Tamandua tetradactyla: one gene and its partners. The protein of the gene in region 2 purifies or fractionates together with the protein of the main gene of each other region. This does not show direct contact. Links are inferred from orthologs where the notes say so. Each region holds a gene or a part of one and is shown on either strand. Other genes may lie near its edges.

The links.
Region 1: the proteins of UBXN7 (region 2) and NPLOC4 purify together in Homo sapiens (affinity purification with mass spectrometry; 3 studies listed by BioGRID and IntAct, with this or other methods). This does not show direct contact. The link is inferred for Tamandua tetradactyla from reciprocal best matches to the Homo sapiens genes UBXN7 and NPLOC4.
Region 3: the proteins of UBXN7 (region 2) and TOPORS purify together in Homo sapiens (affinity purification with mass spectrometry; 4 studies listed by BioGRID and IntAct, with this or other methods). This does not show direct contact. The link is inferred for Tamandua tetradactyla from reciprocal best matches to the Homo sapiens genes UBXN7 and TOPORS.

The regions. Positions count from the first base shown.
Region 1 is NC_135332.1:73,880,599-73,887,661, reverse strand, and holds the start of NPLOC4 (nuclear protein localization protein 4 homolog), read left to right. Parts: upstream 1-4,056; 5' UTR 4,057-4,164; coding exon 4,165-4,179; intron 4,180-7,063. UniProt on the Homo sapiens protein: The ternary complex containing UFD1, VCP and NPLOC4 binds ubiquitinated proteins and is necessary for the export of misfolded proteins from the ER to the cytoplasm, where they are degraded by the proteasome.
Region 2 is NC_135336.1:17,370,599-17,377,941, reverse strand, and holds the start of UBXN7 (UBX domain-containing protein 7), read right to left. Parts: upstream 3,005-7,343; 5' UTR 2,949-3,004; coding exon 2,876-2,948; intron 1-2,875. Other genes in the region: diphthamide biosynthesis protein 3, read right to left, coding at 5,892-6,140. UniProt on the Homo sapiens protein: Ubiquitin-binding adapter that links a subset of NEDD8-associated cullin ring ligases (CRLs) to the segregase VCP/p97, to regulate turnover of their ubiquitination substrates.
Region 3 is NC_135328.1:63,333,502-63,341,134, reverse strand, and holds the start of TOPORS (E3 ubiquitin-protein ligase Topors), read right to left. Parts: upstream 3,008-7,633; 5' UTR 2,900-3,007; intron 2,866-2,899; exon of another isoform or gene 2,597-2,865; intron 1-2,596. Other genes in the region: SMIM27 (small integral membrane protein 27), read left to right, coding at 4,879-4,923, 5,266-5,388; NDUFB6 (NADH dehydrogenase [ubiquinone] 1 beta subcomplex subunit 6), read right to left, coding at 6,033-6,101. UniProt on the Homo sapiens protein: Functions as an E3 ubiquitin-protein ligase and as an E3 SUMO1-protein ligase. Probable tumor suppressor involved in cell growth, cell proliferation and apoptosis that regulates p53/TP53 stability through ubiquitin-dependent degradation.

The DNA of each region.
Region 1 (7,063 bases), on a different chromosome or scaffold from region 2:
TAATATCCTTCTTGTAGTATAGTGGAATAAAAGGAAAACAATGTCTAATAATGTGTTTGACAATATGCCAGTGCCCGGACCTGACTACAATGGGAGATGAAATGAAGAAGGCCGACCCTGGCCCTTACAGAGAACAAGTAAGTTTGGATAGAAGAGAAGCAAAAAGAGGTGGGCAATGGTGGCTCAGTGGCAGAGTTCTTGCCTGCCATGCTGGAGACCCAGGTTCAGTTTCTGGAGCCTGCCCATGCCAAAAAGCAAAACAAATAAATAAATAAAAATGATCATATGTTAAGAATGTTTGTGGTTCTTTGCTGTTATATTTTTAAAAAAATTAAAAATTAAAAAAAAAAAAGATATCCACAGGATGATACCTTCTCTGAAGACAGGCTGTCAGCATCTGGGGTTCCTCTGTCAGACAGCATGCCAGTGTGAAGCTATTATGCACCCCAGAAAAGCCAGGCCCTTTAATTTTCGTTCAATATTGCTGGAATTTTTTTTGATTGTTCCCATGGAGATATTCCCCCCCAATTGTGGGTGGTAACTGTTGATTAGTTGGTGTCCATGGAGATGTGTCTCCACCCATTCAAGATGGAGTTGCTTATTGGAGCCACAAGAGCCCAGGCAGCGAGAGACCTTTGGAGATGGAGAAGTAAAATGCCCCCAGGGGAGCTTCATGAAACAAGAAGTCGGGAGAGAAAGCCAGCAGACATCACCCTGTGCCTTTCCAGATGATAGAGCCATCAGCCTTCTTGAGTCACAGTGTCTTTTCCTGGATGCCTTAATTTGGACATGCTATAGTCTTACCTTCATTTGGACATTTTCACAGCCTTAGAATGTTAAACTTGCAACTTAATAAATTGCCCTGTTTGAACGCCGTTCCAGTTCTGGTATATCACATTCCAGCAGCTTGCAAACTGGAACAGATAGTGTCTACTGGTCCTTTGCTCCCAGGTTTTGTTGCTTTCAGCTTCTGGTTCCAGTGGCCTCTCTCTGAGCTTCTTGGGTCTTCTCTTGGCTTCTCTGGGGCTTTTCTCTCTGTGCTCATTCAGCTTTTTCTGTCCTTTATCCTCTCATAGAGGACCTGAGTAAATGGATTAAGACCTACCCTGAATGGGGAGGGTCACATCTCAATTGCAACAACCTAATCAAAAGGTCCGAACCACAACAGGTCTGAACCCAGAGGAGTGGATGAAAAGAGTATGGCCTTTTCTGGGGGTACATAAAGCTTCAAGCTAGCACAAGCTATCTGCATCGTTGATTTGTGTGTGACCCTGCTCAAACATCACCTCCTCAGAGGGGTCTTTCTTGACCATTTTATGGCCAAAGACTGATGGTTCCTTGTCATCGCATGTTTACACACTGATCTGTTTATAATCTGCCTCCCACTGGTCAGTTCCGTGAAGGCAGGAATCTATCTCATTTCTGTTCTATCCACATCATGGGATCTTGTCAAGCACAAAGTAAACCCCAAGTAGATATTTGTTGCTGGAAATGAATAAGCCAAGTTAAGTAACAGCTTAAACTGAGGTCATAGAACAGGATGTAAACATTACAACTCGTGAAGATACATTTATCTAAAATACAATTTAGTCTTCTGTTAAATTCAGGAAGATACCTTAAAACATATATATTTTTTTAATAACTTGAAGGTGTGCCCTCATTGTTCTGAATGATTCCTCTCTTTCTGCGGGAACAGTGAGATGTTTGGGACACTGTTCCACAAATGTAGCCCAACTCCTTATTTCCAGCTGAGATTTGGGATGCTTGCTTTTGTTTCCTCTTTGCACTTTTTAAAAAAAAAAACTTTTTTATTAAAAAAGTAATAATTTTCAAAGCACACTTCAACAACTAGTTACAGAACATGTCCCAGAGTTTGTCATGGGCTACCATTCCACCATCTCGGATTTTCCCTTCCAGCTGCTCCAAAACACTGGAGACTAGAGGAATTTGAACAGTGAATAGGGAAGTATTTGCAGAGTCCCCTGGGGTAATGGGGAGAAAGGGGGAAAATTCAACTTCCCCAAGTAGAGAACTCTTGATATTCTCACAGGCAGTGGGGATAGCCAAAGTAATAGGCCGAGCCTCCAATCTTGGGGTTTGTTCATATGAAACTTAATCCGCAAAAGATAGGCTAAGCCTACTTTAAATTAGGTCAAAAAGTCACCCCCAGGAGAATGTCTTCTGTTGCTCAGATGTGGCCTCTCTCTCTTGGCTGACACAGCAAGCAAACTCACTGCCCTCCCCCTATCTACGTGGGACATGACTCCCAGGGGTGTGGACCTTCCTGGCAACGTGGGACAGAAATCCTAGAATGAGCTGAGACTCAGCATCAAGGGATTGAGAAAACCTTCTCGACCAAAAGGGGGAAGAGCGAAATGAGACAAAATAAAGTGTCAATGGCTGAGAGATTCCAAACAGAGTCGAGAGGTTATCCTGGAGGTTATTCTTAAGCATTAAAGAGATATCACCCGTTTAGTTAAGGTGTAATGGAGAAGCTGGAGGGAACTGCCTGAAAATGTGGAGCTGTGCTCCAGTGTGACTGTGTGGTTGTGAGAGCCTGTGTTTGATGCTCCTTTTGTCTACCTTGAGGGACAAGTAAACATATTGATTAAAAATAAATAAATAATGGGGGAACAAATGTTAAAATAAATTTAGTAGACTGAAATGCTGGTGATCGGTGAAGGGGAGGGGTAAGGGGCATGGTTTAGTATGAATTTTTTTCTGTTTTCTTTTTATTGCTTTTTCTGAATTGATGCAGATGTTCTAAAAAATGATCATGATGATGAATAAAAAAAAACACTGGAGACTAGAAGGAATATTAATACAGTGATTCAGCAGTCATAGTCATTTGTTAAATCCTATTTTCTCTGTTATACCTCCTGCTTCACCTTTGATTCTCCCCCCAATCTGTACGGAGAAGGGTAATGTCCCTTCTGACATTTTCATGTTGAGAAGGGGCGTCGACACTAAAGATAGGGGGATGTAATCAATTGATAATGTTTGGAGAGGCTGGTCCCTCTAGGTTTCAGGATTTATTTGACCCAGGAACCCTCCAGGAATTATAGATTCCAGGAGTCTTTTTAATAATGAGCATATGAGACTCAGCATCAAGGGATTGAGAAAACCTTCTCCACCAAAAGGGGGAAGAGAGAAATGAGACAAAATAAAGTGTCACTGGCTGAGAGATTCCAAACAGAGTTGAGAGGTTATCCTGGAGGTTATTCTTACACATTAAACAGATATCACCTTGTTATTCAAGATGTAAAAGAGAGGCTGGAGGGAACTGCTTGAAAATGTAGATCTGTGTTCCAGTAGCCATGTTTCTTGATGATGATTGTGTAATGACACAGCTTTCACAATGTGACTGTGTGATTGTGAAAACCTCGTGTCTGATGCTCCTTTTATCTACCTTGTCAACAGACGAGTAAAACATATGGAATAAAGATGAATAATAGGGTGAACAAAAGTTAAAATAAATTTAGTAGATTGAAATGCTAGTGATCAATGAAAGGGAGGGGTAAGGGGTATGGCATGTATGAATTTTTTCTGTTGTCTTTTTATTTCTTTTTCTGAATTGATGCAAATGTTCTAAGAAGTGATCATGATGATGAATATGGAACTATGTGATGACATTGTGAGGTACTGATTATATATGTAGAACGGAATGATCATATGTTAAGAATGTTTTTGTTGTTATATTTAAAAAAAAATTTTAACAAAAATGCAACGAAGATTAAAAAATAATAATAATAATGAGCATAGCCACTCACACACCCACAACCAAAATCACGCTTCCATCAGTTTTCTCCATCATCCGCGCGGTGGAGGCCCGCGGACACACACCGGGCGCGGGAACTCCGGGGCGTGGCCGGGCAGGGTGAGGAGGCGGGGCTCCAGGGGCTGCGCGGCGGCGCCTCACCGCGCCTGCGCGCAGCCATTGGTGGGGCCGGAACCTCCTTTGCGGGACTGCGCGCCCGGGGGGAGCGTATTGAGCGAGGCACTCGCCCACGGCGGCTGGTGGAGTCCGGGCCCGCGAAGCTGGAGCGACGGTGGCGGCGGCGGCGGGAGGCCGGGGCTGAGGCCGGGGCCGGGGCTGCGAGGCCCGTGGGGCGGCAGGCTGCGGCTGCGGCCTGGGGCTCGAGCCCAGAGGGAGGAGCGGCTGCCATGGCCGAGAGCATCGTGAGTGGTGGCGGCCGGGCGGGAGCCGGGGCGCCGGGATGAGGCAGCAGATTTGCCGGCCGCGGCCTGGGGCGGAGGCCCGCCGGCTGGCTCTGCGACCCGGCCCCTTTCCCCTCCCTCGCGTTAAGGCTCTCCCCGAGGTGCCTGGGCTCTCCCCCGGGGCGGCTTTCACCCCCCTCGGCTTCTGTCCCTCTCCGACCCCAGCCGGGAGATTCGCGACTTGGGTTCCGCACCCCGGGCCGGGCCTTCCTGCACGGAGCGTCGGCTGTGCTGAAGGGAAACCGTCTTCCCCCCTCGCCTGCCTCCCTGCCTCGGGCAGACTTCGTGGGCTTTATTTGAAGGCCCCTCAGAGGCCGGGTTACGACTCCCCCCTTAATCTCCTTCCACTCTGCGCCCCCACCCCCACCCCAGTAAGTGCCTTGTCATGAGTCACTGGAAGGAGAGCAGGTTGTACGAGCGGAGCGCTGCGGAACTCCCTCCCCACGAAAGGAAAATACGGCGGCTTGACTAGTTTTTTGCCCCTCGGTTGTAAAGAAAAGTTGACAACTGCCTGTTTTAAAAGCATATTATGAAGAACCTTGGTTTCACTGTTGACCAGACAGGAGGAATTGTCTCCTCCCCCCCCTCCCCAAAATAAAAAGTCAGTGAAAGTCAGAAACATCTGTCCTTGGTTAACTTGTGAAAAGTTTTCCCTCAAAAGCAAATGTGGTAGGAAAAGTAACAGACTGTTCAGATAGAAGAATTTCGGTTAGCGTTAAATGTTCGGGATTTTCAGGGGAATCAAAGCAGTATCGGGTGACCAGTTATGGGCACGCTTTAGCACCTTTATGGCCTCTGAAGTTTTGCCAGGTGTTGTGTCCAGAATGGTGGGTTACTTGTGTCCAGATGTCTCGGTTCTGCAGGAAGCTCCAGCCCTTGGGCAAGGCTTTTCTCTAATTCCTACCTCTCTTAACTCGAGCTCATTGGAGGGACCCTGGAGCCTCCCCATTGTTTCCCACCTGGAGATGAGCAGAAGGAACAAATGGCCCAAGAGAAATTTGACTCCTTTAAAAATAAGATTTGCTAATCACTGGGGAGTTCTAGAAATAGATAAGGAATTAGCACTCATATCTGTTTTCAGACTTTCTGTTATTGTAATATTTTAAACTGAATTGAAGAAACATAAGCAAGTGGTTTCAGACAAGACCCATTTCCCACTAGTATATATACAGCTAGGCTTTTGCTCATAGCTTGGTACCTTACAGAATTTCTTAGGTTGTGAGGAATTAAAACAGACCCTTCTTTTAAAATTGATTTCCAAAAGCTTTTTGAATTCAGAAAGAGATCTTTTTTTTTTTTGGCATGGGCAGGCACCAGGAAAGGAACCTGGGTCTTCGGCAGGGCAGGTGAGAACTCTGCCTGCTGAGCCACGGTGGCCCACCCAGAAAGAGATCTATTAAAACATATGTGCATATGACTGATTTTATCTCACCAGTTCTTCAACACCCCATTATTCTTGGGCCATTTTCTTATAAATACAAAAACCTAAGTTATTAAGAGGCTATGTGTCCATGTTGCCAGGTCTGCCTTGTCTTGTGTATTTCATTGTGTAGCCTGTGTCACAGTACAAGCTAGTACTTATCTCAGTTCAGGTTGCATTTGATTTTGTTGTTAAATACTGTGTGTGTCTCAGAAACCTAGACTGCCCTGCCCTGTTGTAGACAATCAATGAGAATGACTTAATATCTTTGTAGAACTCCTCAGAATCATGTAAGCCTGACATTCAGCTCCTCAAATTGCTGAGTGACGTACTCTTGTTCCTAAATGATCAAAAGGACATTTCACAGAACCCCCTGCAGAAAAACAGAGTCCTTCTGTTCTTGTGTCTTAGTGCTGGAGACAGATTTCTGAAACAGGTACAGAAGTATTCACTTAATGCATTGTGAGAACCTTTCTTAGGTATGAATCAAAAATGAAGTGCACCAGAAATCAAAAGAATTAATTCAGAAGAACTAGTTTGTACTTGCTCTTTCACACAGAAGAGGGGAAAAAATTAAACATAGTTTAAGAAACAAAAAGATATAAAATATGTTAGGCCTTTTTTTTTTTTTTACATGGGCAGGCATCAGGAATCGAACCCGGGTCCTCTGGCATGGCAGGCAAGCATTCTTGCCTTCTTGCCTGCTGAGCCACTGTGGCCCGCCCTAGGCCTTTTTTTTGATGTTATACCTTTAACAGTTGGAATAGTCATAGGGACCATTCGAAACAGCCCTAATACTTTGAGAACAGTAAGGTAACTAAGGTCAGGTAAAGCTTGTTAGAAATTTGAGAAACAGGGCCAGGCTTTTTTTAAAAGGAAAATTTAGATTATTCTTAATTAGTTGGATCCTAAAGCAGAGGAAAGTTCAGTAGACCTTGAGCTTTTGTGGTATTTTGTCACATATTGGACACTGGCCTTGTGACATTTGGCATCTCAGTGCTGCTGCATTAATGAGAACACATAGCACGGTGAGGACCTTCTGGCATGTACTCCTCTGTCTGCTCTCTGCATCCCTCGAGGTAGTTGGCGCAGCGGGGTGTTGGCAGCGGGGCGTGCTGCTTCATGCTTCCTGACAAACGTAGAGACTTGTACAGTTGGCCAGGGTGCTAATGACACTTCTTCAGGAGGGCTTCCATTACAATAAAAATCAAGCTCTCTGTCCGATGGTCTTCAGGCCTCGCACCATTTCGGACTTGCCATGAAAATATTTTTTAAAACTCATGCTAAGTTTTACTGTGATGTTAAAGGCATTCATTTCTTTAATTTTTTAAATTAAAAGCAAATGATGAATTAGAAGATTTCTTTTGATTCTTTTAAGTCAAGCTAATGTCTGTGTATAGATTTGGTAACAGTGAAATCTTTAAG
Region 2 (7,343 bases):
TGCATTTTGTATATATGGTTGGGTGTCAGCCCAAGTTTGTGTTAATGGGATACTGTCATGGTTAAAAAATATTTTTAAAACTGCTGCTTTGGAATTACCTTCAGATCCAGCAGCACATTCTTTCTTCATGCTTTGAGAACTGACATGACTTCTGAAAGAAGTCATTCAAAGTCATGTATTATGAATATCAAGAGATATCAAGTGGAATAATATCATAAAATAAATGACTATAAAGTAACAGGACTGATCTTACGTAGGTTTAAATGACTCTGAAGGCATCAATGGTAGAGGTAGACAGCTTTTCAATGTGATTCAGAGAACAACGTTTTGTTAACTACTCTATTAAAGACTAATCATGGAAAAAATGTTTTATGATGTAATACTAACTGAAAAAATTCAGAGTTCTAAATTATGTACAACAGGATCCAGAATGTAGACATAAGTATATGAAAAAGAATTGGAACATAATGTAAAATAAATAATACTGCTGTTGTGACAGTGGAGGTTTAGTTTTTGCCCCCTTTTTTCAAAATTATTTCATGTGTCATGATATCTTTTTAATAATTTTCTTAAATCAGATTCATTATTTCAAACTCAAGTATTATAGAAATTTGTTCTATTTAGTAAGAAATAAGACTTTACAAGAAATCTTAAAATTTTCTCTTCTATTTCTAAATGCCATATTGGTAGATTGATAGCATTTTTGAAGATGCAGTGCTTTTATCAAATTAATGAGCTTCCAAATATAAAAAAATCTTTCTGAAATCAGAGCATAAGTGCTTAAGATCAGTCTGATTCATACAGCAATGAAAAAAATACCTTTATATCATAAGCACAACAATTTCAAATATATACCAGGAGAGATAACACCAAAATGTATTTGTAAAATATGTGGAAAAAAGGCTGAATAGGTTCAATCCTGTGTTTCTAATGGTTAATCATTATCTTATAAAAAGAATCCCCAAAATTATTAATAGAAATTCACAACACATTAAGAACAATCTAAGATATTTTCCCTTTTGTAGATTTCCATATAACCACTGTCTACTGAGGGATGCCAATTTGATTTAAGAATAGAAAGGCCTATGACCAAGAAACAAGCAATGAAGACTGACAGAAACAGAAAAGCTAAACTCAGTCAAATCCATTTGGCACACTTTGATTTCTAACTCTAACAAAAATGTTGAATTAGAAGACAACGTGAGGTTAAGGCAATCTGAATTTCTGAAGGGGTTAACATAAACTGAAATTAAATAAGTGGGACTTTAAATTAAATCACTAGGCATTCTAAAGGAAAGATTAATAATGGATATTCACTTCTATATCTGATTCTCTACAAGGATTTTTCTATATAAACATATGCAGCAATGTTAACTTACATACACAATACTTTTCAAAGATTCCCCATAACAAAGATTTAGATACTGGGAAATGCATAACATTTTAATATATAGCAAAAGATTTTAAAAAAATTATGAAAAATATTATCCCATTCCCCACCTCAACGCCATTACAAATTTTACTTTACCAACTCTGACGTGGTGTTTCACGCCCACAAGCTAGATAATGCATCGAACATCTAGTTTTAACCACAGAGTAAAAAATAAAACTAGTTTTAATTATAAAACGGTAACTTCCACACAATCTGTAATGGTTAAGACAAAATTTTATCTAACCAGATATTGCATGATAAACTCTGAGGACGTTAAATATTCTCTGCATCTAACAAATGACCAGATTAAATATGTAACTACTAAAGGAAAGAACTAATATTCTAACCTCCTTCTAAAATAACAAACGAGAACGGCAAAACCACACTCAGGCACATGGACTACTCTTCTCTCAAATCACTCCACAGAGAACTTCATCATTTGCTCCGCCCTCTAATAACTCATGCAAAAAAAGTTCAGCACCATCAGAGAGAAACAAGACACAGGGAATTCACAGAATGGCACAGGGCCTTTTCTCCAGGCTGAAAGAAGATCTCGTGTGCCCTTCACAGGGGTCCAAAAAAACAGGAAATCCTGGGCCTTGGGTTTGGGGATACTGACACCCAGAAACAGGTTCCCTCTCCGAGAAGTTTCCGCCGCCATCCCTATTTTAGCAGCAGGAGGCCCCGGCGCCATCTACTCGGGTCTTTATGATTTTATTATGGGGAGGTGGGAAACGCCTCCCAGTATCCGTCCAGGCCTCCAGAATCCAGTTTGGAGAGAGGGGGATTCCCCCCTCACTCTTCTCTTAAAACCCCAGGCCCTAAGGTTACTCCTCAGCAGCCCTCTTTCTGGCGGCCTATCCCCGGGGATCTGGAAAGGCGCTGCCGAACCCACCAGCATCGCCGTTAAGGCGGGAGGGCCCGAACACACCAAGGCCATGGCGATGGCTCGGAGGGGCCCAGAAAGGGGAAGGGCAGGCCAGGGACGCGGGAGCGAATGACCCGGCCCGGGAAGAAAGGAGAAAGGAGGTGAGGTGATACACTCTATCCGAAGCCTGCACAGACAAGAGATGATGAAGGAGGAGGAGGGCGGTGGCCCGGGTGCGGCCCCCCACTCCTCCCGCCCCCAGGTCCCCGGGCCGGCGGGGGCGGATGAGTTCGGCCCATTCGCCTGGACTGGGCTGGCAATAGGTTAGAGGTCTCCCTCCACACTGCAAGGAAACCGAGAACAAGGGTACAGGGAACGAGAAGGGGGGTAAAAGGGGACGTCTGTCTCCCGCCTAACCCGGAGACCCCACCGACGTCGCCTCTTCCTCAAGAGGGAGGACAGTAGCTGTGAGTAAAACCCAAGGGAGGAATGCAGGAAGGTAGGGGAAAGCACGGGGCAGACGCGACGCCCACTCCGGACCCCACTCTCAACCTTCCGGTAACCGCGTCTCTTACCGGTGATGGCCGTGAACTGCTGAATTAACCCCTTCAGCGCCGAGGACGCCGCGGAGCCCCCGTGGGCAGCCATCTTACCGCCGCCGCCGCTGCCGCCGAACAACAACACAGACACACACGGGCCGCCCTCCCCCACTTCGCCGCGCCGTTTGCGCAGGCTCATTGACTGCCCCCATGCTCCGCCCCCCCAGTCCGCTGCGCGGTGTGCGCAGGCGCACCTCGCGGCCTGTCCCGGAGCGTTCTCCCTGCCCTCCGGGTTGGCTGTTCCGTTGCTGCCTGCTCGCCGAATCCTTCTTTACAACCTATGGCTCCCCCTTCTCCAAGCTCCAAGACCAACCTTGTAGATGCGGTATTGGTTCCTGGTTTCCAGAGGCAGCCTCGGTCTCGGCAGGTAGCAGGTTCCTCGCGTTTCAAGTTCACAAGCTTTATTGATAGATCCAGCTGCCGATGGCCGTGTATTTTTTCTTATTTTGCAGGTCCCATCAAAAGCCAAATGTCATTATCGGCATTGTAGCAACTTTCTTTCCGATTACCCAACCTCTGAATTTTAAATTGCTTAGTCAACTGGTGCAGCAATCCCATACAGCAGAAAGAAAATGCCAGAACCCTTTCAAGCCAAGAAAGCATGGGTAATAGAGGGGATTTATAGCGGGGTTTTAATAAACAATTTTTCAACCTGCTTTCTTTCAATAAATATGTCCACATATTTCCCTCCTCGGGATTCCAGTTAGTTTCCTTACTTTTAAAATGAGGGTTTGCTATTTTTAAACAAAGAATATTTGCTACTTTTATAATTTTAAGTATTCTTAAATACAGTTCTATGATTGGGACGCGCTCAAAGCTGATGATTTTCTCTCCTTGAAAATAAAGTTAAAGAGCCTCAGTTTAGGTCATCTGCAGATTTGACCCAACCTAAGAAATAGTCTGTTAATGTGCGACTGGGGAGAGTTGAGAAATAACCGAGTTAAATCAAGGTTAGTATAGGGTTGTAGTTTCAGAAGGATATGATTGGTGTAAAAGAAAGCAAATCCTAATCGAAAATATTGTGACCTGTGCAAAGAAAGGATGTGAGGCATGGTAGCAGGCACAAACCTGAGAATAAAACACCTGGAAATGCTGCCAACTCATTGCAAGCATTCTTTTAAGTTTGTAGCTGAACTCTCAGAAAAATAAGAGAAATCTGCAGGGGCCAAAAAATGAACAGGAAACTAAATCACCCAGCAATGAGTTTGAGATGATGTCAGGACTGAGGAGCCAAGAGAGGAGGTTGTAGGTCTGGTTAAGTGCCTTTAAAAGCCACTAAAAGTCAAGAGACAAGGCCTTGGACCTTCTTCACTAAGTGGCCTAAATGGGAACACCTTCTCCCCACCCTTTTTAAAACTGAGACCTTTGAAGAACTACTTGCTCAGTAAAAATGTAAAAGCGCAGAATACGAAAAATACACCTGTCCTGGGAAGGAACAATGAAACTTTTCTCTCAGCCCCTGAGCTCCTTGAGGTGGGATGTAGATGTAAATAAATAAAGGAATAGATAAATAATAAATCCCTCAGAATTCCTAACTGTGGACCTGCACTCGGGATTTAAGGTTCAGTTTTACAATTTGCAGAGTACAGGAACCAACCAAAGGAAAAAGTTAATATAAAATTCTCCAGAGCTGATAGAACCCCAGGGCAACTGGGAGAAGCAAGTATAAAATAGAAAATTTCTTATGAAATAATAGCAATTAGTCTGATACAAAATTTGGACCAGAACAGCAAAAACAATGGACTGTTAGCCTTAAAATGCTGAGGAACAAAAGTGTGAAACTAAGATTTTATGCACAGATAAATTATCATTTAGGGGTAAAGATAAAATGAAGAAAATATCAAACAACTGAGATTACTGAAAAACAGACCTACCCTAAAAGAATAAAGGACATACTTCTTTTTTTTTTTTAATTTTTATTAATAACAGCAACATACAAGCACATACATTCTTTTTTTTTTTGATTTATCTGACTTTATTTAGCATACCAATAGTTTATCATGGTAATAAATTAGTATGTACAGTTATCAAAAAATGTTGGGTGCTTTCCAAGGAGGTGTACACTGGAGGTGTATACTAAAGTCTTTTGTAGAACCATTTAAACAGCTGTCCTTCATAATTTTCCAATCCAAGTGCGGTAACATGAAATTTTTGAAAAGTAGTCTCTTTAGCTATAAATCATGATTTAGATAGTTTGAATTTATAAAGATTTCAGATGCCATTTCAGTACCTGCAGGCTACCAAATCTGACATTATAGAATTGACAATTCAGTAATCATTTGATCCTATCAACTAATTATACAGATAGGAATCCACTGGTATTGTCAAAGATTACAAAAGCTAGTAAGAAGCAGAGCCTAGCCTACAAATTGCTTCTTAGGAAGGTTCCAAAAATATCTGTTGGGCTAAATAAGGCACATATATCACATGGAACTCTAGTCATACATAAAAAGACCCTGGTTTTACTTTGTTTAACATTAGATTGAATTCTGATGGTCCTTTTGTAGTTCACAAATATATTTGGTGATTTAGTTCTGTGGAAACAAAATCTTTCGGACTATTGCAGTTCACCACCCATCACTGATTGCCTAGTGTCGTTTACGCTTCTTTTTTCCTGGGGTGTTTCAACTCTGGCAACTTTTCTTCCCATTATTCTGAGCTCATAATAGACCTACTTCAAGGGTGTCTGTTCTTGTTTGAAATTCAACATCAGCAGGAGTTAACATAATATCAACACCTTTTTAAAAATTTGGATGGAAACTTAAGAACACTTGCAATTCAAAGTTTTATACCTGAAATCCAGGTATGTCATGCTGTGGGTTGCTTCTTTAATTGAAGGTGAACGTAGCAGTTGATGAAAGAATCCACAATCTAACAGAACAACAAACCACAAAAAAAGGTTGTCCTTGTGAAGAGGTCTGTAACCTTGCATTTGATTTTTCCATCTTAGTTCATTCTCGGTAGTTCGAGATTTGAATTCTTATAGCCTTCTTTAGCACTTAACTAATTCTTTGTTGGTAGAAGGTGCTGGGATTGTTTCTCCACACATAAACTGATCTTTGTCATAAATCACTTTTATAATGAGAGAGCAGCTAGGGCACGTTGCCACGTCTTCCCCATTCTCCAAATCTTCCTTGGTGATGGCGAAGTTATCCCCACATGGGCAGGGGTAGAAATACGTCTCCAAGTCTTCGTCATACTGGAAGTCCTCGATCTCCACCTCGTCGTGAAACACGGCCATTGCCACTGAGGTCAGCAAGAGGGCTATCGCCCCCGCCGCCCGACACCACCTCCGTGGGTTTAACCTCGGTGGCGCCGGCCGGCAGCACATACATTCTTAACATACAAACATTCTATACATGGTGTACAATCAGTGGCTCACAATATCATCACATAGTTGTATATTCATCACTGTAATCATTTCTTAGAATGTTTGCATCGCTGCAGAAAAAGAAATAAAAAGAAAAAAGAAGAAACTTATACATACCATACCCCTTTCCCCTCCTTCTCACTGATCACTAGTATTTCCATCTATCCAATATATATTTTTTAATTTTACCATTTGGTCCCCCTATTGTTTATTTTTAATCTATATGTTTTACTCATCTGAGTGTAGAGGGAGGAGGGCTGGGGACATAAATAAAATCAGAAAGAAAGATAGATGTTAAAGATTGAGATGGTATAATCTAGGAATGCCTAGAGTGTATAATAATAGTGCCTAAATGTACAAATTTTAAAAATGTTTTTGCATGAGGAAGAATAAAGGAATGTCATTATTGCAGGGTGCTGAAAATAGATGGTAATTAATATTTTAAAATGTCACCTTATGTGTGAGACTAAAGCAAAAAAAATGTTTATTTGGTTCAAAATTTGTATTTTGACTAGTGCAATTCCTAATATAACTTATGTAGATAGTTTGATTGAACAGCATAAGTACTTGGAATCTCAGGTAAGACATGAGATTTTGTTGGTTTGTCCAGAGTGATGCCTGGATGAATCCCAGAGTTCTTCGATCAGTGAGTGGAAAAGTATTTGCAAAGTCCCCTTCGGGGAATGGGGAAAATGGGGAGAAATTCAATTCCCCCAAGTTGAATTCTTGATAGTCTCATAAGCAGTGCAGACAACCAAAGCTATAGGCTGAGCCCCCAGTCTTGGGGTTTGTTCATATGAAATTTAACCCCACAAAGGATAGGTCAAGTCTACTTAAAATTTAGGCCTAAGAGTCACCCCCAAGAGAGCCTTTTTTGTTGCTCAGATGTGGCCTCTCTCTCCAGCCAACACAACAAGCAAACTCACCACCCTCCCCCTATCTACATGGGACATGACTTCCAAGGGTGTGGATCTTCCTGGCAATGTGGGACAGAAATCCTGGAATGAGCTGAGACTCAGCATCAAGGGATTGAGAAAACCTCTAGAATGAGCTGAGACTCAGCATCAGGGGATT
Region 3 (7,633 bases), on a different chromosome or scaffold from region 2:
GCTGGACAGATTATCAGAAGACCTGGACTGAAGACTAGGCTTCACCTAAAACTAGTTCTGCAAACCAGGAAAATCTTCAATATGGACTTTAGTTTACTCCTCCATAAAATGAAGGGATTATTAGACTTAAATTTTAAAATCTCCTACCGAGTCATAGATTAGCAAATATCAGTTAAATTCAGTTGTAAATCAAAAACTGTATCCAGTTACAGCCATGAAAAAAGACTGGTGAATTTCAAATTATTACATTTCATCTTAACCTGGTTCTTTGGAATGTACAATTTTAGTGTTTAATGAACAGTTCTAGTTCACATAACAACGACAACCCAGGATGAATTTATTAAAGGAAATTTTTAGGCAGTAAAATCAAATTCAAATAAAACAAAATCAACTAAGTATATTTTAAAAATGTAATCTTAGTCTTCCCTTCCCTAGTCTCAAAGCCTTTTAGTCACCATGACAACATAAGCTAAAGAATCAGTAGGTAAAAAAAAGAACAAATAAATTAGAGTTCTGATTGTATTCTGTCAATAAAAAGAATTGACTGCTGATACACGCTACAACCTGGAAGAGCCTTTTCATTACGCTAAATGAAAAAAAAAGTCACAAAAGTCCATATATTGTAAACTCTCAGTTAAATCAAACGTTCAGAATAGGCAAATCTATAGACAGAAAGTTGCCTCAGGTGGAGGTAGGGATGATGAGGAGTTGGTAGAAGGTTTCTTTTTGGAACGATGAAAATGTTCTACAATTAAGATATGTGACATTGTACAACTCTGTAAATGTATTAAAAATTAGTGAATTACAGACTTTAAACTGTTGAGCTTTACAGAATGTAAATTTTTATCCTAATAAAGCTGCTAAAAAAACAAATTAATGCATAAAACAAGGATGGCTAGGAGACACATTAAGTTAGAGATTTGCAGGTGAGATTCTGGGATTAGGTAGCAAAAACAGACACGATGGTAGACACATTTAATACTTCAGGTTCCAAGCGCCTTTACTTTAGCACTCTAGGAATTTGGACTACAAATTAACTTTCTCATAGGCAAGAAGATAAATTAGTTCTCCTGATCCTGCTTCCTAAACTTTCTCCCAAATTGTAAAGTTTACCATCTTTAGGTTAAACGGAATAAATCAAACCCCATACCTAAATCTTCAAATCTATTGGCTTTAACAACGATAAGAAGCCTTCATGTCAAATTTGAGGGAATTTCAGATAATCAACAAGCATACCTATCTAGGAAAACAAGAGGGATAAAGAATCAGTAAGTTGGAGGCTAAAGGTCATATTAGATATTAAAAAATTGTACAGAGATAGCAACAAAGTAGAGCTGCTTGTAGAATTAGATTTTTTATAAAGACTGACTTCCTATAAGTCATATTCTACAGAATTCCTTAAATTATTATAAAAATTAACGACCTACTGATTACCTTTGGCAGAGTGGTATCAATCTAATGCAAAGCCAGGGTTGAGAAACACACCATTTACTAATTGCTGACCTTGGGGGAAGCTGTTTAATCTTTCAAAACCTCCTTAGATTTTCTCAATTCTAAAATGGGGTAAATACCAGTACCCATCTGAAAAGTTACTGTGTAAAAGGATACAGTCCATGTAAACAAGGGACAGTGTTTGGTACACAGAAAGAACTTAGCACTCTTCCCCTCTGTTATGTGAAAGTAATGATAGTGTCCATAATCTATATTTTGAATTCATTTTAATGACTGAATCAAGATGACAATCTCTAAATTATCTTCATATTTAATATAATTATAATACTATATATGGGCAAAGTAGTTAGGAAGGTCACAAGTGAATAAAATAGAAATACACACCCAGGCATAAAAAATACTCTGAGGGTGGGCCACAGTGGCTCAGTGGCAGAGTTCTCGCCTGCCATGCCAGAGACCCGGGTTCGCTTCCCAGTGCCTGCCCATGTAAAAAAAAAAAAAAAATCTGAGTACTATCTCTCATCACCTCAAGGAAATCACTGTAACTTTCTGAGCTACAGTTTAATCACCAATTCCAATTGATGATACAGAAGTTACAGGGTCTGCTGATAAGAACCTATCAAATTTAATTCCAATCCAGCAATTAAAAAAAAATAGTTGGGAACCATTCCCCTCTATAGCCATTCTTTCCAGATAAGCATGTTTGTTTGGGCTGACTATAGAGCCTTGCATTTCAATTAAAAAACTCACTATGTTTCAGCTTAATCTTGGGTAGCTGTTTCTTAATTTACCTTAAATAATCTTGAAAATTACCCACCAAAAACTTAATTCACTTTATTCCTATCTGGCTCATCTTGGCACTGTCCCCTTACAGCCTAGGAATCAGCAGCCCATGAGGAAAGCTTCCTGTTTACATGGATCAAAGAAGTCACTGGCAGGCAAGTCCAGCCCAGAATGCACAGAACACTGCACAGACAACTCAATCAGTCACGGTGGTCGCCGCTTCCTTTGGTTAAGAATTCCAAGGATCATGATCTAAGATAAACACTACATGTATTACATAACCACAAGGAACCTCAATACTGTGATTCCCATTTTACAGACAGGCTCAGAGAGGTGAGGGGACTTAGCCAAGGTCACATACCCTTTCAGGGGCGATGCCAAGATTCAGACTTCAGCGGTTATTTTTCCAGAGACCTGGCTTCTTCCAGTACGCAGTTAGGCTCGTGCCCCTAGAGAGCGCTTCCACAGAAACGCAATCCTCTCCCACCCACTGGGACAGATCCACAGGTGCGCGGCAGAGGCCTCCCGCCTGCAGGGACCCCTGCCCAGCCGAGGCCCGGGCAGCCTGAGGCCGAGATCGCCACCCCCAAGTCCCTGGGCCCCGCTCCAGCTCGCCCAGTCCTCCGACCCCCGAGCCCCATTGTTCCCGATCTCACTCACTCACCTCGGAGGATGCTGGCGCAGGCCCTGTTGGGGCGCTCGTGGCAAGCTCCCGACGGCCCAGAAAGCTGGGACGGTGACGGCAAGATCCGCGAAGGCGTACCCGACGACTTCTCCGCCTACCTTCAGGAAGCGGGGAGGGCAGGGGCGCTTCACCCTCCTCGCGAGACAGCGGAGACACTGGCGGCTGCTTCGACCCCTGTGACGTAAAGTGCTCATCACCAATGGCAGTTTGGGGGCGGTAGCAGCGAGCGAGACCCCACCCCCGAGCCTCTGGCGCGTCAAAACACCGCACCAGCCTTCTTAACGCCTGCGCGTTAGAAGGGCGCTGGCACTAAGGGCGGGGCTTAGCGTGCTGCGGCCGGATATGCGGCCCTCCCCCAGCCCTCCAATCCCTTAAGGGGAGCAAAGTAACCCTCCAAAACAGAAATTGCTACCACCGTCATCATTTTTGTTATTATTAATCACTGGGAATTGCCGGGGCCTTAAGTTAATGTTCGCTTCTAAGGCACCGGAAAACAATAACTAGACAATGTTTTAGCTTGGTCCCATTTAAACTTCATCAAACGCTTGCTGGAAGTTGCTAAAATTATCTCCATTGTATACATAGGGAGCTGTTAACAGCGGTGTGACTTCACCACCGGTTGCACCGCCCCAAAGAAACAACACCTGGATTCGAATGGGATCCAAAGCCGGAGCCCAATCAGTATCCTATGCAGCTTTCAGGGAGATTTACTCCAGTCTGGGGAGAAGTGGTCAAGACTTAACAGAACAGGATCTGAACTCTTCCCAAAACTAATTCCTTTTTTTTTTTTTCAGCTCTTCAGAATCACCAGTTTTTTTTTTATTAATTAAAAAAAATTAACTAACACAACATTTAGAAATCATTCCATTCTACATATGCAATCAGTAATTCTTAATATCATCACATAGATGTGTGATCATCATTTCTTAGTGCATTTGCATCAATTTAGGAAAAGAACTAGCAAAACAACAGAAAAAGATACAGCATGATAATATAGAGAAAAAAATAAAAATAATAAAAATAAAAAATAAAAATATATATAAAAAAGGAAAAAACAAAAAACACAAACAAACAAACAAAAACTACTAATTCCTTTTTTAAGCACTGCATTCCCCCTTCCTACTCCCCATTTGGATTAAGCCCTGTTAAGATAACATGTGTGATCTACAGAGAAAAAGCCTCTAAACCCAAAGCAGTCTATTGCAAGATTGTACAACTCAGACCTCAAATGTGAGCGTCCCAAACATTTTATAGTTGAACTTGGTACAAACGTCCACGTGCCAAACTGCCGTACTTAGGATTTAACATTTGAAGCGTATTCCCTTTCTAGTCACATATTGTTCAACTAACACTTGTTGAAAGATTGGTGCATTATACCACGTAACTCGTGCCACGTTTTTCTTAGAAATAACATTTCCATCAACAAGCAATTGCGTTCTCAAAGACCTTCATCACTGTTACATAAAATAGTAGCTTTACGTTAAAGCCGAATATACAAGCGTTTACATATATTAAGTGGGAACAGATGCGCGGGAAACGTTCATACTCGGGAGTTAGATGCCGATGCAACATTTAAAAGGAGGATTTTTTTTTTTCAGGTAAACTTTTAAACGTGCAAGACTGTACATTATCCTGCATTAATATCGGACTGCAGCTGGGAAGACACACTGAAGAGGTGTGCCTATTTACCTAGGCGACAAAAAGGCAATTTTTAATCTTTTCTCATTTATTTCATCCCTTTCCTGAAAGGCGGGCTAGGGCCCCCACCACGTGACTCCGCCCCCCGCTCCGGGCGGAAGAGGGCGGGCCGGCGGATAGGAAATGCTCCAGCAGGCCAGTGGGCGGGCGCCGGTGCCCCTCTGCGAGAGGCCGCTCGAGTCCCGCAGCCACCTCCCCGGAGGTCGATCTAGAGCCCGCAGCTACCGCCCGTTCCCGCTGCCCGCCGCCGCCTCCTTACCATGGAGCCAGTGAGTCGCCGCACTTTGGACTGGATTTACTCAATGGTAGGTCTCGGGCCTGGCGGGGCTCCACGGTGTCGACTCCCTGGGCCTGCGCGCGGTAGGCCCCCGATTTCTTCAACACCCAGAAACTCCAAAATCCCTTCCTGCATTAAGCCTTTCACTCTTTCACTTCGACTCCGCCTCTTCCTGGAGGACACGATCTTCCGCCTCTTACGTAAGGGCTGCGGAGGGTACGCGTCTCAGGAATCCCATTTGTTCGAGTTTTCACTATAACCCCCACCTTAGCCAAGCTACGCGGTAACCTGGTGGTGGGGGGAATGTGAGGAAAGGACACGCCCATTAATTTTTTTTTTTCGTTTCTCCCCTTTTGCATTTATCTTTTAGGTCCTCCTTGCGATTGTTTTACTCTCCTGGGGATCTGTCATTTATGCGTGTACTGTAGCTGCGCGACGACAACTAACGAAGGAATACCCAGACAGAATATTCGGGATGAATGAGGATTTTTAATTGCTTTAGACTTAATACAGTTCTTTACCTCATGCTTACCTGTCACCTGTTTGCATTTAAAAGCAAAATCCATAATATAAGCTTCCAAATTTATTTTGGCATAGTCTTTTATAATAACCACGATTTTTTTGACTTAGAATTGTCTTTTACATTCTCATCAAAATCAAAGCACTAGGTCTGATAACCTTTGAGTATCAGGTCATAGATGGAATGACATGAATTTTAATAAAGAGTTTCTAAAACACTTGGAAGTCGTAGAAACTCTCCTTTAAAACAAGTGTGTGGAGTTTATATTCTTATATTTGCTTATGGCAACATGTCTCTGTTGCATTCTCATACCAGACCGGACTAAGTCTCTAAGAAAAATTCTGTCTTTACTGAATACTTTTCTGCATCTTGTTTTCCAACTCAGAAATGGCCACAAAAAAGTAGATGATTACTCAGATCATTTTGCTTTGCATGTTCAGTTTTTATTTATCATTACATGACTCAAAGTGTCTCATACTATACAGTGTATGGAAAGAGATATGACAACACATCTCTGAGAGTAAACTTTTAATAAAATTTTTTCCAGAAAACAATTCAGTAAATATGGAACTGGAGGATAAAATTTAGCCTCACAGGGCCTTTGAAATTTTTAATCTTCAGTGATGTTGATTAGGAAATTCCTTCATTGGTGGAATAACTTCTCCAGTCTCCAGAATTGTATCGCCCTGGAAAAACAAAGATGCATTAGTAGAAAAATCTCAAGTCATCACCCAGCAAGGGTGAAGGCTCCACACGGTCTAACTTAGACCTCCCATGGGAAATCCAGTTCAGCTTCACACTTTAAGAGGACTAAAAGCTGTATAATTGAATAGCCAGCATTCAAAATCTTAAGGTACAAATGAAATAATGGGGAAAGTTGCATTCAGAAACAAAACATGGGCATGAATGTTGTCTTCATCAGGTGAAAAGGGTATAATCCTCATTTTGCATGGCCCCCTAAAATAGGAGAAGCCCTAGAAAGAAGTTGCTTGAAAACATTACCAGTTCAAAATAAGAAGGTAATGTATTCCCAGCAGCTGAACATGTTTGGCTTAGATATTAGAGACAGAATGCAATACATTGGCTGCAGCTGGTGCAGGTGTCTTTTCAAACCTGGAGGCGTGTTACCCCAAAATTCATGTCCACCTGGAACCTCAAAGTATGACCTTATGTGGAAATTGAGAGTCTTTGCAGATGTAATTAGTTAAGGATTTCAAGATGAAATCATTCTGGATTTAGGGTTGGCATTCAGTTCAACAATGGGTGACCTTATAAGAGGATAGACATGTAAGGATCACATGAAAACAGGCAGAGGTTGGAGTTATGCTGCCAAAGGTGAACCTAAGGAACACCTGGGCCATCAGAAGCAGGAAGAAGCATGGAAGGGTCTTTTCCTAGAGCCTTCACACGGCACATGACCCTGTTGACACCCTGATTTTGGACTTGCAGAACGGTGAAAAAATAAATTGCTAGTGTTTTAAGCCATCCAGTTTGTGGTACTTTGTTAAGGCAGCCCTAGAAAACAAATATAGTGAGCAACCAACAAATAGTAGCTATTAATATAACTGTATACCTCACTAGACTGGTTCTAAATATTTTATCATGATCATACTCTAGTTATTAAAAAGATAAAGTCACAAAATGTCAGGTCATATAAACTTTATAATGTCAAGAGAGAAAAATAGGAGAAAAAAACAAACCTTGATCCACAGGTATACCAACTGCTTTTAGCAACCTGGGCCATTTTACTCCCTATTGAGAGAGACCTGGAATAGGAAGGCTGAGGAAAGTTTTCCAACAGGACTGTTCTTAGCAAACCTATTTATACGTAATTAGATATCTATTTAACTTCAGATAAAAGACATACTTCACCCTAGATACATAGGTGGCTCAATGCTATATTTTTCAAGGAACCTTAATAAAACCCTAGAATTGTAAATTTTTATTTTTAACCATTTGCATTATGTAGTCTGTGGGTTCTTAAAACTGTGTACCAAAATGTGGCAGAAGAAAGCATTTCTGGCTGAGGTACATATGATTGTGAGGAAATGGTGTTTTAGCATGGTGGTTGGAGAGAGGGGTTCTGGCATCACTTTATCCCTGTGTAACCTTAGGCAAGCTACTCAACTGCTCCATACCTCAGCTTCCTCATCTGAAATGGCTACTATGACATCAGGGTTGTTGTAAAGAGTAAATAAATAATGCATGCAAAATACCT